Linked DNA regions of Caenorhabditis elegans. The protein of the gene in region 2 interacts with the protein of the main gene of each other region in a pairwise test. Each region holds a gene or a part of one and is shown on either strand. Other genes may lie near its edges.

The links. The genes of interacting proteins can lie anywhere in the genome.
Region 1: the proteins of fust-1 (region 2) and mex-3 interact in a two-hybrid assay, tested with the Caenorhabditis elegans proteins (one large-scale study listed by BioGRID).

The regions. Positions count from the first base shown.
Region 1 is NC_003279.8:125,706-133,299, forward strand, and holds the start of mex-3 (K Homology domain-containing protein), read left to right. Parts: upstream 1-1,579; 5' UTR 1,580-1,591; coding exon 1,592-1,631; intron 1,632-1,679; coding exon 1,680-1,731; intron 1,732-2,991; coding exon 2,992-3,191; intron 3,192-3,239; coding exon 3,240-3,419; intron 3,420-3,461; coding exon of another isoform or gene 3,462-3,470; coding exon 3,471-3,628; intron 3,629-6,397; coding exon 6,398-6,848; intron 6,849-6,906; coding exon 6,907-6,988; intron 6,989-7,594.
Region 2 is NC_003280.10:7,151,016-7,155,976, forward strand, and holds fust-1 (RNA-binding protein FUS), read left to right. Parts: upstream 1-1,636; 5' UTR 1,637-1,684; coding exon 1,685-1,688; intron 1,689-1,888; coding exon 1,889-1,995; intron 1,996-2,120; coding exon 2,121-2,406; intron 2,407-2,454; coding exon 2,455-2,512; intron 2,513-3,076; coding exon 3,077-3,114; intron 3,115-3,321; coding exon 3,322-3,460; intron 3,461-3,505; coding exon 3,506-4,115; intron 4,116-4,163; coding exon 4,164-4,268; 3' UTR 4,269-4,457; downstream 4,458-4,961. Other genes in the region: T07F8.1 (Zinc finger PHD-type domain-containing protein), read left to right, coding at 1-266, 311-745; C27H5.2 (TAR DNA-binding protein 43 N-terminal domain-containing protein), read left to right, coding at 4,668-4,692.

The DNA of each region.
Region 1 (7,594 bases), on a different chromosome or scaffold from region 2:
TTCGAACTTCTCGATGCACCATAATGCTGTTTGGCGATAACTTTAGAGTAAGAATGGTAGCGATTTTTGCGATGCACCATGACGTTTTTATCGATTTTCAGAAAAAAAATCACTCCGAGACCCAAATAGTTTCATTCTCGACGCACTATAACGTTTTCGAAGTAAATTTCAAAATTGCTTCTCGGAAAAGTTTTTTGAGACCTACATGCACCTTTAATCTTCTTTGGAAACTTTGGAATTTCCGCCGAATACTCTCATTTCAGTTGTTCTCGATGCACCATGATGGTATTTTTTTCAAATTACTTTTTTTTGATTTTTCCATGAGAGGACCAATATCTGTCTTTATAACGGCGCATTCTGTAACCAAATTTTGAAATTCCACGACATTCTGCTCTCATCGATTCAACATGATAATTTTAAAATGAAATTTAGCGATTTTTCGGGAAAAAAACAGTTTCGAGATTTTCTAGTTATTGGACACTCTGCACCTTGCTTATTTGGAAATTACATTTTAAACCGACAACCCTTCAAAAACTGCTTTTCGTCGATGCACTATGAGTGCATAATTTTGTGTAAATCGTGGTGGGCCTCTAAAAAAACCGAAAAAAAAAACGTATAAAACGCAAACAAATTGTTTTTGTTGTAATGTTGACACCAACAGATTCGGCGTGGAATATACGGAAGATCGGATTTCCAAAAAAACAACCGCTCTCCTGTTTTCGACGTTCCGCCGCTTTTTATGGGAGAAGTAGTATGTACCTTTAAGGGTACTGTAGCCCCTTGAATATTGGCCTAAAAGTGAAACTAGTGTTGCCAAAAAAAAACGAGATGACCAGTTTCAATATGTCATTTACATCTACACATTTCTAAAATCTCATTTTAAATTCCATTGTTTTCTCGTTTCTTCTGTCCCAAAGTACCGTATCCTCATCCTTCTACCACCTTAATTTGCATTTCTTCTTCCTTATTCACTCTTCTTCCCCTGGACGAAAAATGTTGCACGACAACAACAAAAGAGACCCGCCCCCCACCATCGGTTTCTCTGAACCTCTAACTGTCCCCGCCCCCTTTTGGGAGCCCACTGTCTTTTCTTTTTTTCTTTGGTCGCTGATTATGACGGATCGTTTTTGTCGTTTTTGTATTACAGGAATACAAATTTCCCAAAACGCGTATTGCACAACATATTTGACGTGCAAAATATCTAGTAGCGAAAACTATAGTAACTCTTTAAATGACTTTTGTAGCACTGATGCCGATTTAATTAAATTATTTATTAACAGATAAAATATTAAAAGAAAACACGACAATTCAAAAAAATTCATTTCGTAAATCGAGCCCGTAAATCGACACAAGCGCTACAGTAGTCATTTAAAGAATTACTGTTTTTTCGCTACGAGATATTTTGTGCGTCAAATATGTTGCGCAATACGCATTCTTATAATTTTGTGTACCCGTAGTATATTTTTGTCTCTCTGATTTCCATTGCAATTTTTTAATTCCATATTTTTTTGGTGACAAATTTCTCCGCTTATCAATTTTTTTTTCAACCACATAATTATTAACCCCAAAACATCGCAGATTTTCAGGTAAAATGCCAGTCGTGAGCGTTAGACCTTTTTCTATGAGAAATGGTGAGCAATTTTTTTGAAGTTTTTTTTTGAAATTTTTAATTTTTCCAGAAGGCTTCTCAAACGGGCATAACACGTGGAACGACGCCGAATTTTGGAAACCGTGAGTTTTCGGCAAATAAGCTAACAGTCTAAGAAACACGAAAAAAAATCCAATTTTCTTTTCAAAATTCGTGATTTTCGGATGATTTTTGAACTTTTTGATTAATGTTCCCACTGAAAATCCTCCAAATCTCTAAAAATCCGCTTCTAAAAAAGCCTCAAATGGCCTTGCGAGAATAGACGGAATGTTCAAGGATGACTGGTATAAAATCGGCAAACGTGTTGCCATTCAAACAGAATATCTCGAAATTTCGCCTTCCTTTTTTTTAAGTGGGTCGGATATTTAACATACAGAAGAGAATAGGGAGAGAAAAGAGGGAAAAGAGGGGAAAAGTCTTCTTGGAAACAACCTCGAACCGCAATTAAGTTTTTGCCTCACCCTTCAATTTTCGTGAGAAAGTTAAAAATCCAAATTTTTTTCTCCTTTTTTAAAAAAAGATTTCCTCCTCAAAAATTCAAAGGATCGAATTTTTTGTTACACGCCTGCCTCCTTTTTATTACCCTTGTTCTTGATCGCAACCTCTTTTCTAGATTACTTGAAAAAATGCGCTATTTTTTTTCCTTTTTCAACAGAGTCAATTTCAAAGGTGCTGTGGAAAAAGTTTCGGTTTTTTTTTGCAAAAATAATCGAAATTTGTTCGTTTATACTGCTTAAAAAATGACCAAAATTTCAAGTAATTCATTCGAAAAATCGATTTTTTTGAAATATACAAAAATTTTCAATTTTTCATATCTGAAAACACAATTTTTTCGATTTTTCATTTTTCTTGGAAAAAACACAAAAAAAAACTGTATTTAATTTCCCACTTAATACTACGATATCCAAGCCCCGCCTCCGCGTATTGTACGTGAACACGGCGGCCCAAAATTACACACTATCTCACACACGTTAAATGAGTGATACCGTACTCTCTCTGTTTTTTCTTTCATTTTTTCGGCGCCGAAAATTTTCAATTTTTGGTGGTTCTTTTGGCGGGATTTTTCGGATTTTTGTCGCGTTCACACACACACACCAGTTGGTGTTGCCTGTCGTCACCCACCCGCCCCACTCTTTGTCCGTGTACTGCTTTGCCATTTGTGCGCGCGTACCGCTGCCCGTCTGTCTTTCTCATCATATGCGCCTCGTTTTGTCGCTTTTTCTCCATTTGCCCTTCCTACATGGGTACCTGCGGTTTTCATCGAAAATATCCTTAAAAATTCCGAAAAACCTCTATTTTTCGATTTTTGAATCGATTTTCGCCCAAACATAACCATTTTTCAGAATGAAGGAAGAACAAATCGCCTATAAATTGCCAGGGGCTTGGTATTACGAGGAGGACACTGCCTCGTGCTCTCCAGTCAGCGATCCGGAGGATATTGCGCAGTTTCTCAACTACAGAACGTCGATAGGCGTGCAAAATGTCACAGAGTCCGTGGAAGTTCCGACGTCGGAGCATGTCGCCGAGATTGTTGGTCGTCAAGGTAAAAATTGCCTTTTTAGTCAAATCTACAGTTTCCACAAATTTTCAGGCTGCAAAATTAAGGCACTGCGCGCCAAGACCAACACCTACATCAAGACACCGGTTCGCGGAGAAGATCCAATTTTCGTGGTCACCGGACGCCTGGAGGACGTGAACGAGGCGAAACGAGAGATCGACTGCGCCGCCGAGCACTTCACACAGATCCGTGCGTCGAGAAGACATACACAAGGTAGGTGACCGTAGGCAGCCGGTTCCTGAGCGCCTTGTTCAGTTGTTCCAGGAGCCCATGCACCTGGACAGATCACGAGCTATGTCAGAGTTCCGTTAAGAGTTGTCGGACTCGTCGTCGGACCGAAAGGAGCGACTATCAAGCGAATTCAACAGGACACCCACACGTACATCATTACGCCGAGCCGAGAAAGGGAGCCCGTTTTTGAGGTAATTTTGTTGGAGAGCATAGAGTTTTGGAGCAAAATTCTCAGCAATTTCATGCTTTTTAACAAAAACAGAGAAGTTTCTAGTTTCGGCTTAGAAAATACTGAAAATCGGCTTTTCCATGGCATATATCGTGCTGAAAATCTACTTTTGACTGAAAAATTCAAGTTTATGACTAAGAAAAGTTAGATAATTAGACCATGCTATTATTTCATAATATTGGTCCAATTTTTGTTGCTTTGCTGAAAATTAACAAAATTTAAAAATCGGCGGGGTTTCTGAAATATTTCTGTATAAAAACCGATTTCAACTCCAATTTTCCTCGATTTTTACATATAAGTAATCTAGAAAAATTGTAAAATGGGGAGAATTCATAAGAAAATCGGCTGTTTTGTAGCAAAGTTTGTAAATATATCATTCTGAAAGTCTCAGCGATAACCGTGATTCTAGAAAACCTCATCAGGATTTGATTTCTGCGACACACTTCTCTCGAGTTTTACATAGAAGTTGTTCATTACAAATTTCTATTTTTAAGGTCCCCATTACCATTGTCAATCTTTCATTCCGATTATTTGTTTTTCCTCGTCACTGCAAGAAGGGGAGCCTAATGCCTAGACAGAGACAGAAAACACATGTGTGTTTGTAAGTGTCTGGTGTGATATACCCAATTCTTTTCGGCCGTCTCTTGTTTTCTTCCTGACACCGAGTTTCGAGCGATTTTCGAGGTCGTACAGTTGTGAATTGGCTGCCACTGCTGTGGCAAACAAACAAAAACAATCAAACTTGTGCGGAATTGATATTCTAAAGAGAATAAAGAGCAACCATGGGCGCCGAAACGAGCAGCGGAAGGGCTTGTGACCTCTTGGTGTGAATTTTAAACGGTTTCCTTCCATCCGAAATGCTAAAAATTCCTCGGGAGCCGTTTAGGGTCTTCACTGAGAGATGATGATTAGAATCTTTTAATTTGGTAGAATTCCCCCCGCGGGACCGATTAATGTTGCATGTCGTCTTCTTCTTCTTGGCAGCAAAATATCATTGTTGATGAGATATCTCAGTTTGATGCTCAATGACGCCTTGAGAAACATCCAGCACACAGTAGATTAGTCGAATTACCGATGGATGGGGCCGCCCGGGTTTTTGGAGCCAAGAGTCACGCGATGGGGAGTCCACATACACACGCACCAACTCTTTCATTCCATCTAACAGGGTAGTAGGGTGAAGAAAAGGGGGGGGATCGCGATGACAAAGAGACTCAATTAATTAAATGACCGGGGCGGGCGCCAAATTGCACATATGCTTGGTTTTATTGCACCGTTGGCTCAGGGAGAGCAACATTTTGTGGCAGCACCAGGGGTACTTCAAAATGACGAACAAAGGTCGTTGTTGTTTCTATAGGAAGGCTTCCGAACTTTTGAACAGTAATCAGATCATATTAGGGTTATGTAATTGACGGTTTTGACCGTATGTGTCTATAGATGCGTGTGTGTGTGTGTGTGTGGCGACATAAATTACCGTATCCGCATGGCCTTTTTCCTCCTTCCTCACAATGGTAATTATCATCCCCCACTACTCTGGGTCGCCGGACGAACTGTGAATGTGTTGACAGTGCGGGCCCACTAGTACATGACATCTTGCCCCGGTGCGGTGCGCTCATCGTTATTCCTCCCAATTTAGTTGTCCGTTTGACACAAATGCCTCCGGTACCCTGGACGAGACAAGGAGGTGATGGATTTGCCAGGCGGGGAAGGAATTACATGATGTTTGGGAGAATATGAGGGAAAGGTACAGAAGCTTCACCTCGGATATTATATGCGTTCTAAAAAGACCAATTGTCGTTTTTGTTCGTGGCTCAAATGAATAATTGGTATGGAAATATAGAAAAATGTCCGACTAGTTTGGTAATAGAATTGTTTCGTTTTGAACATTTCAAAAATACCTCAAATAGTGCACTTGAGATCTTTGTTGAATTTTCAAAGGTTTTATTTTCAGATAAATTGAGCATTTTCCATACTTATAAAATCAATTTTTGGTTCAAAAACTTCTAATTTTCTCACCGAAAAAGTTCTCACAAGACAGTGACAGAGGTCGCGTGTCGTTTTGATATCCATCTCGATAATCAGAGATTGTGATCTATGCCTCAATGACACAGTTCCGCGAAGGAGTCCGAGAAAAACGTACAAAATTGGGGAAAAATATTGGAAATAACATTTATTGAAAAATTAAAAAAAAAACATAAACTATTTAAATTCACAAAAATTCGGAAGCATATTTCCTATAATGAAAACAAAAAATTCTGAAAATGTGTACTGCACAACATATTTGACGCGCATAATCTCTTGTAGCAAAAACTACAGTAATTCATAAAATTGACTACTGTAGCGCTTGTTTTGAGTTACGTGCTCTACGAAATGAATTTAAATAATTTATCGATGGAAAAATAATTTTAAGCAGAAAATGAGAAAATAATATGAAGAAACAAAAAGAAATTCGAGTTACGTGCTCTAAGAAATGAATTTAAAAAATTTATCGATGGAAAAATATTTTTAAGAAGAAAATGAGAAAATAATATGAAGAAACGAAAAGAAATTCATTCGAAAATCGAGCGCGTAAATCCAGAGCTACAGTAATCAGTGAAAGAATTACTGTAGTTTTCGCTACTAGATATTTAGTGCGTCAAATATGTTGCGCAATACACATTTCTGGAATTTTGTGTTTCCGTAATAAAATAAGTTTTTTGCGAGAACTACAAAAATATAACTATTTCTATTCCAGGTGACCGGCCTCCCACATAACGTCGAGGCTGCCCGCAAGGAGATCGAGACGCACATCTTCCAGCGAACCGGAAATCTTCCAGAAACCGACAATGACTTTGCCGGACAGTTGGCCGGTGTCTCGTTGATGGTGCAGAAGCAGCAACAGGCTCAACAACAAATGCAGGAGGCTCAGCAACAATCGATGTTCTATCGAAGAGCATTCGGCAACAGTAATCCGTTCAATCAGAAGGAGATGTCGTCGTCGCCATTCGGAATGGAGAGCTCGTTGGGATTGGACGCGTTGCTCCGCAGTTTCCCATCGATGCGTAGTTCGTTGACTCCGGAATCTCTTTCCGGTACTGGACTGTCTTCTCGTCCATCGTTGGGAGGAGGACAATCGGCGAAACAAGATCTGCCAACCTACGACTACTGGGGAACCAACAACTCGCTTAATGATATTATGGAGAACGGTAAGCTTTTTTTGCGAATTTTAATAAGAATTTTAAATGACAAATAAGGATTTTTCAGAAATTCTCAGCCGCAAGTACGATGCCCTGTCCGCATGGTCGTCGATGGGATTGGAGAAACGCGAGGAATCCCCAACCAATGGGTATATATTTTTGAAGGAATTTTATAAATTTTTGAAATAAAACTAAAAATTGCAATTTTCCTTCAAAGTTCTAAATTTTTGAAAGAAAATTTGATTTTCCGCTAAAAAATTTAAAAAAAAAACAAGTTTTCGTGTTTTCCACTCGGAACCTGACGGCTTCTTATCAATTTTTTAAATAAAAAATAACGTTTCTAAAACTCAGAATGTTTAAAAAATTTCACATTAAAAAATTATTTTTCCGAAATCTTGAACCTATCCGTTTTTGAAAATAAAAAAGAGTAAAATCGTAGTTTTCTCTATAAAAATTATAATTTTCATTTGAAATTCAAAAATTTTTAAATAAAATTGGATTTTGTCCGTCAGAAATCTATAAAAAGAAAATTTTTTTTGAACAATAAAAGAAAAATTGTAATTTTCTTTTGAACTTCAAAAAAATATGTTTTTTTTCACATGCAAAAAATTGATTTTTTCAAAACCTCGTTTTTGAGAGAAAAAGGTGAAATTCCAATTTTAAGAGGTAAAGTTAAATTTATTTATTTTATGAGAAAAACTTGAAATTTAAAGGAAAATTACTGAAATTTACAATTTATCATACATATTTTTTAA
Region 2 (4,961 bases):
ATCATCCGACTGCTTGTTTAAAATGTCAAGAAAAACATATTCTTTCTAATGAGGAAATGATTGAACATGCTAATGAGGCACTTGATGAGCTTGCCAGGCGCTTACAACACGAGACAAGCCATCTTAGTAACTTGAAAGCTGCTCGCCAAGACATGACAACGGCTATTTCGACTCGAACTGGGCCAACAAAACAGAAACTCGAGGAAGTTTTGGATTATATTGGCTGTAGTCAAAAAATTAACTATCAGGGATTAACCGGAAATCAAGTAAATTTGTGATTTTCGGTATTTGAAAATATTCTAATCTTTAGGTTCGCCAACTACTAAGGACAGAAAACATTGACAAAGTACTAAAAGTCTTCACGGACTGTAGTTGGATCCAGAATATGAGAAACTTCATGAATGATTTGGCGTCACTCATGTCAGCAAGCAATAACGCAGTCTTCACAGATGATGATTTGAATGATTTCGCTAAAACTTTGAAGAACTTGAAGAGAAACATCAGAATTCTTCATCCTTCGATGGGAGTCACTCCTAAACTTCACATCCTCTGTACTCACCTCGAGCCTTACATTAGAGCAAAAAGAACTTGGGGTCGTACTTCAGAACAAGGGATGGAAGCGTTTCATGTGCTCTTCAGGACAACAGAGACGCGATTTTCTTCTGTGATGTCTCTCAAGCTACGCGCTGAGTTGATGATCGACTATTTCGCTAACATCAACTATATTTCCGATAAAAGAAACTAGTGACAGCAAACATTTCTAGGAAACCGTTTTTATAGTACATCTCTCTCTCTCTCTCTCACTCACATGTTTTTTTTTCGATTAAATCAATTAAACGAGCAGAAAAGCCATGAATGATCTCTAAATTCCGACTTACAAAGTGTTTTGAGTTGATGATAAGCGTGAATCCTAATTTTCAATTGCCTAAACTAACAAACGGGTTGTGAATGGGTTCAGATTGGGGTACAGCATGAAAATATTTCAAAAGAAGTGAATACAATTTTAGAAAAACCGAATACAAGCAATGTAAACATGAAAATGAAACAAAAAAACGAAAAAAAAATCAACCTTGTTCGAAGAAAATGATGAGAATTAGAATGAGCAAGGAAATGCGAGAGACTTGGAAATGTGAGAGACGCAGCATTTCACGCGAAACGCGCCAGCAATCGTCGCGCTTGCGCATTTCGAGACGAGGATACTGTGTAAAATTGTAATCATTTGTTGCAATTTTTGTTCTTGAGTTAACTTTATTTTTCATTTTCCTCGACCTAATTTCTCAAAATTGTTAAAATGTATACTATTTATTACCCTGCAGTGCTCAAATCTTGTGATGAGCACTATCAAAGTTTTAGATGGAGTTTTTTAAAAAGTATTTTTTTTAGTATAATTGTTTTTTTCAGTAAATTTAGTTTTTTGGAGCAGAACGCTGAAATCTGCCAAGGTTCGCTACAACCAGATATATCTAGATATAACTGCAAATGTGCGCGCTCCATTGAGACTACACGCGACGCACAACCGCGACGCGTATTGGACAGCGTTCTCCGTCTTCTTTGAACAGCATCTGTCCTCAACCATTCTCTTCTCGTTTCTCTTTTAATTTTAAGATATATTTGCTCTTCAAAGGATAAATTTCAGTCAACGCATCGACACGTAGCGAGTGCCTCGACTTGAATATCGACAAAAATGGGTTAGTTTCTTTTTTAATAGTCGTTTTCTTATTGGAATATCGAAATCCGAGTGTCCACTGAAAGTATTTTATTTATCCTCCTAACACCATTCATGTTTTATAAATTAGGTTAATGCGTGAATTTGTGGGAGCTCCCGAATACAAATCACGGGCGTTGCCATTTCTGTTTCCCGGTTATTTGAAAACATTATCGATTTCAGCGGCTTACGACCAAAGTCAACCCGACTACAGCACACCCGAAGGGCAGCAGGCGTATTGGGCCTATTATCAACAGCAACAACAACAACAACCAGGAGGTCAACCTGATGTAAGTATATGAGATTTTGTGGGCTGATCGCCTCACTATCATGGCTTTGCTCAGAATTGTTCAGGAGCATAGTTCTGCTGTTGAATACCACCAGGCTCACAGACGTTTCATAGTTTAAATTTCAGCAGGATCCGTACGCCGCTGCTGCTTATGGAGGCCACGACCAAGCACAACAACCGCAAAATCCATATGCACCACCACCACCAGGAGCGGATCCATACGGCCAAGGATCCGGAGGCCAATCCGGAGGATCTGACCCCTACGGGCAAAGTAGAGGTGGCGGCCGTGGAGGATTCGGAGGCAGTCGTGGAGGAGGTGGATATGATGGTGGACGTGGCGGAAGTCGTGGAGGATACGACGGAGGACGCGGAGGTTACGGCGGTGATCGCGGAGGACGTGGTGGTGGTAGAGGTTTGTTCTTGTTTGATTAATGTATTCATAATAAACCATGTTTTTCAGGTGGCTACGACGGAGAACGCCGAGGTGGGAGCCGATGGGATGACGGAAACTCTGATCGGTAGGTAAACATCTGAATGTTTCGTTAGCAATATGCGGTATTTCCAAATTCGTTTGCTTAACCATCCAAAAATTGTTGTGTTGTGTTGAAAATCGAAACTGCTACAGAGTTCAGAGTATTCAGTGTTCATATACAAAATCTATTCACTATTAAAAACTTGCGAAGAGTAATGTATTGTGTCCGTCATTGTAAGTTTCATGAAAAAAGGTCAGTGTCCGCAATGAAGCACAAATTCATTGTGCTTTATCGATTTGTAGGGCTATGGCCCGGTTTCCTTCAAAATATTATGCAGTTCAGCTATTATTACGTGTGTTCGGTATCAAAACGAGTCAAGAGTGAAGAACAAATGAAGTCTACCAAACGACTTCGAGCGTGCAGGAGATGCTTCTGTCTGAAATCTCTCATGCTTGAAAAATCTTAAAATCTAAATGATCGTGTTTGTGCGTACAAAAAAAAATCAATTGAAGGTGTATTATTGCGCGGTCGAAATCTGAAAACATTTTACTGTGGTGTTAGCATGAGAGAAGAAGACAGAAGACTCCATTCAAGAATGATGTTTTGCAGACAGGGCGGACCTCCAGGAGGAAGAGGAGGTTATCAAGGTATTGAATACGTAAATTGCTTTATCTTTCGTACCACAACGAGTTTATTACCAAAATTAAAAAAAAATGGGTATCCTACCGAGTTTATCATCGAAATTCAAAAACAAAAAACATTAAACGAATATAAAAATACTTGTTCCTGTGCTTTATATTATTGACAGTTGGACGAAAAAATTGTTTGTAAAAGTTTTCATATTTTCATTGCAGACAGAGGACCCCGACGTGACGGACCACCAAGTGGAGGAGGATACGGAGGCGGTGGTGCTGCTTCAGGAAACCGCGAATTCGGATCCGATGGGCGAGTTGAGTTGAAGGAGACCGTCTTTGTGCAGGGAATTTCCACCACGTATGTTTTGTAATCGCCCAATTAAAAAATGTATCTATATTTCAGTGCAAATGAAGCCTACATCGCCGACGTCTTCAGTACCTGCGGAGATATTGCAAAGAACGATCGCGGACCGAGAATCAAGATTTACACCGATCGCAACACCGGAGAACCAAAAGGAGAATGCATGATAACATTCGTCGATGCTTCTGCAGCTCAACAAGCTATAACTATGTACAATGGGCAACCATTCCCTGGCGGCTCAAGCCCGATGAGTATTTCACTAGCCAAGTTCCGCGCTGATGCAGGAGGTGAACGAGGTGGTCGTGGTGGACGAGGCGGTTTCGGAGGTGGTCGTGGTGGTCCTATGGGAGGACGTGGTGGCTTTGGCGGTGATCGTGGAGGATATGGCGGCGGCGGTGGTCGTGGAGGATTCGATGGTGGTCGCGGTGGTGGCGGTGGATTCCGTGGCGGAGACCGAGGAGGATTCCGAGGTGGTGATAGAGGAGGCTTCCGCGGAGGAGATCGTGGAGGATTCCGAGGCGGCGACCGTGGTGGCGATCGTGGAGGATTCAGAGGAGGCCGTGGAGTAGGTGGCGGAAATGCTAATATGGAACAAAGGAAGAATGACTGGCCATGTGAGCAGTGCGGAAATAGCAACTTCGCTTTCAGAAGAGTTAGTTAATTTTGTTTTTTCAAAAAAAAAACACGGGTTTTCTTCTAGGAATGCAATCAATGCCAAGCCCCGAGACCAGATGGAGGATCCGGAGGTGGTGGTGGCGAGCGACGAGGAGGACCACCAGGAGGTGACCGATACCGTCCATATTGAGCCATCAACTCGTCTCCCCATAAATTTTAACATCTAATTTAAATTCTCTGATCTCTTCAATGTGAGAGACTTGTAACAATTTTATATCCACCTTTATATTCTACTTCGATACATTCAAATTTCAATGTTCTTTTTATATTTCATTTTTTCCCACTTTTTATTTTTAACGAAAATAAAAATTTTTGCACATTAACATCTGTTTTTTTTGCAATTGTCCGCATTTCCCTACCCATCAGCTGCTTTGCGTGTCACTGTCTGTTTTCTCTCCGCACTTCATCTCTACGTCACACTATCTGCTTCTCCATCTCTTTCGTCTCGACCTCCCTTTGCCTCGGCGCCCACCTCTCATTCTTCCAATTTACCCGGGAGAGACTGTCCGTTCGAAACTTCGACCGACTAATGAGCAGTATTACAGGACTACAAGGTAAGATTCGAAGAAATCGCTATGAGAATAGATTTTTAGTAAGATTATTCTCGCATATTCAGAATAAAAATATAAAACTATCAATGAAAGTTATTTTAGATTCAGAATTAAAGTATAGTTCTTAAACTTTATGATTGATAGGCTCTACGAACATTTAATTTGAAGATAAAAACGTAGAAAGTTACATCGTAATTTAAATAGACTCTGACATGCCTTCACAAAGGCACACGGATTTATTCAGATGGGTCTTCGCGCGCAAAAAAGTTAAT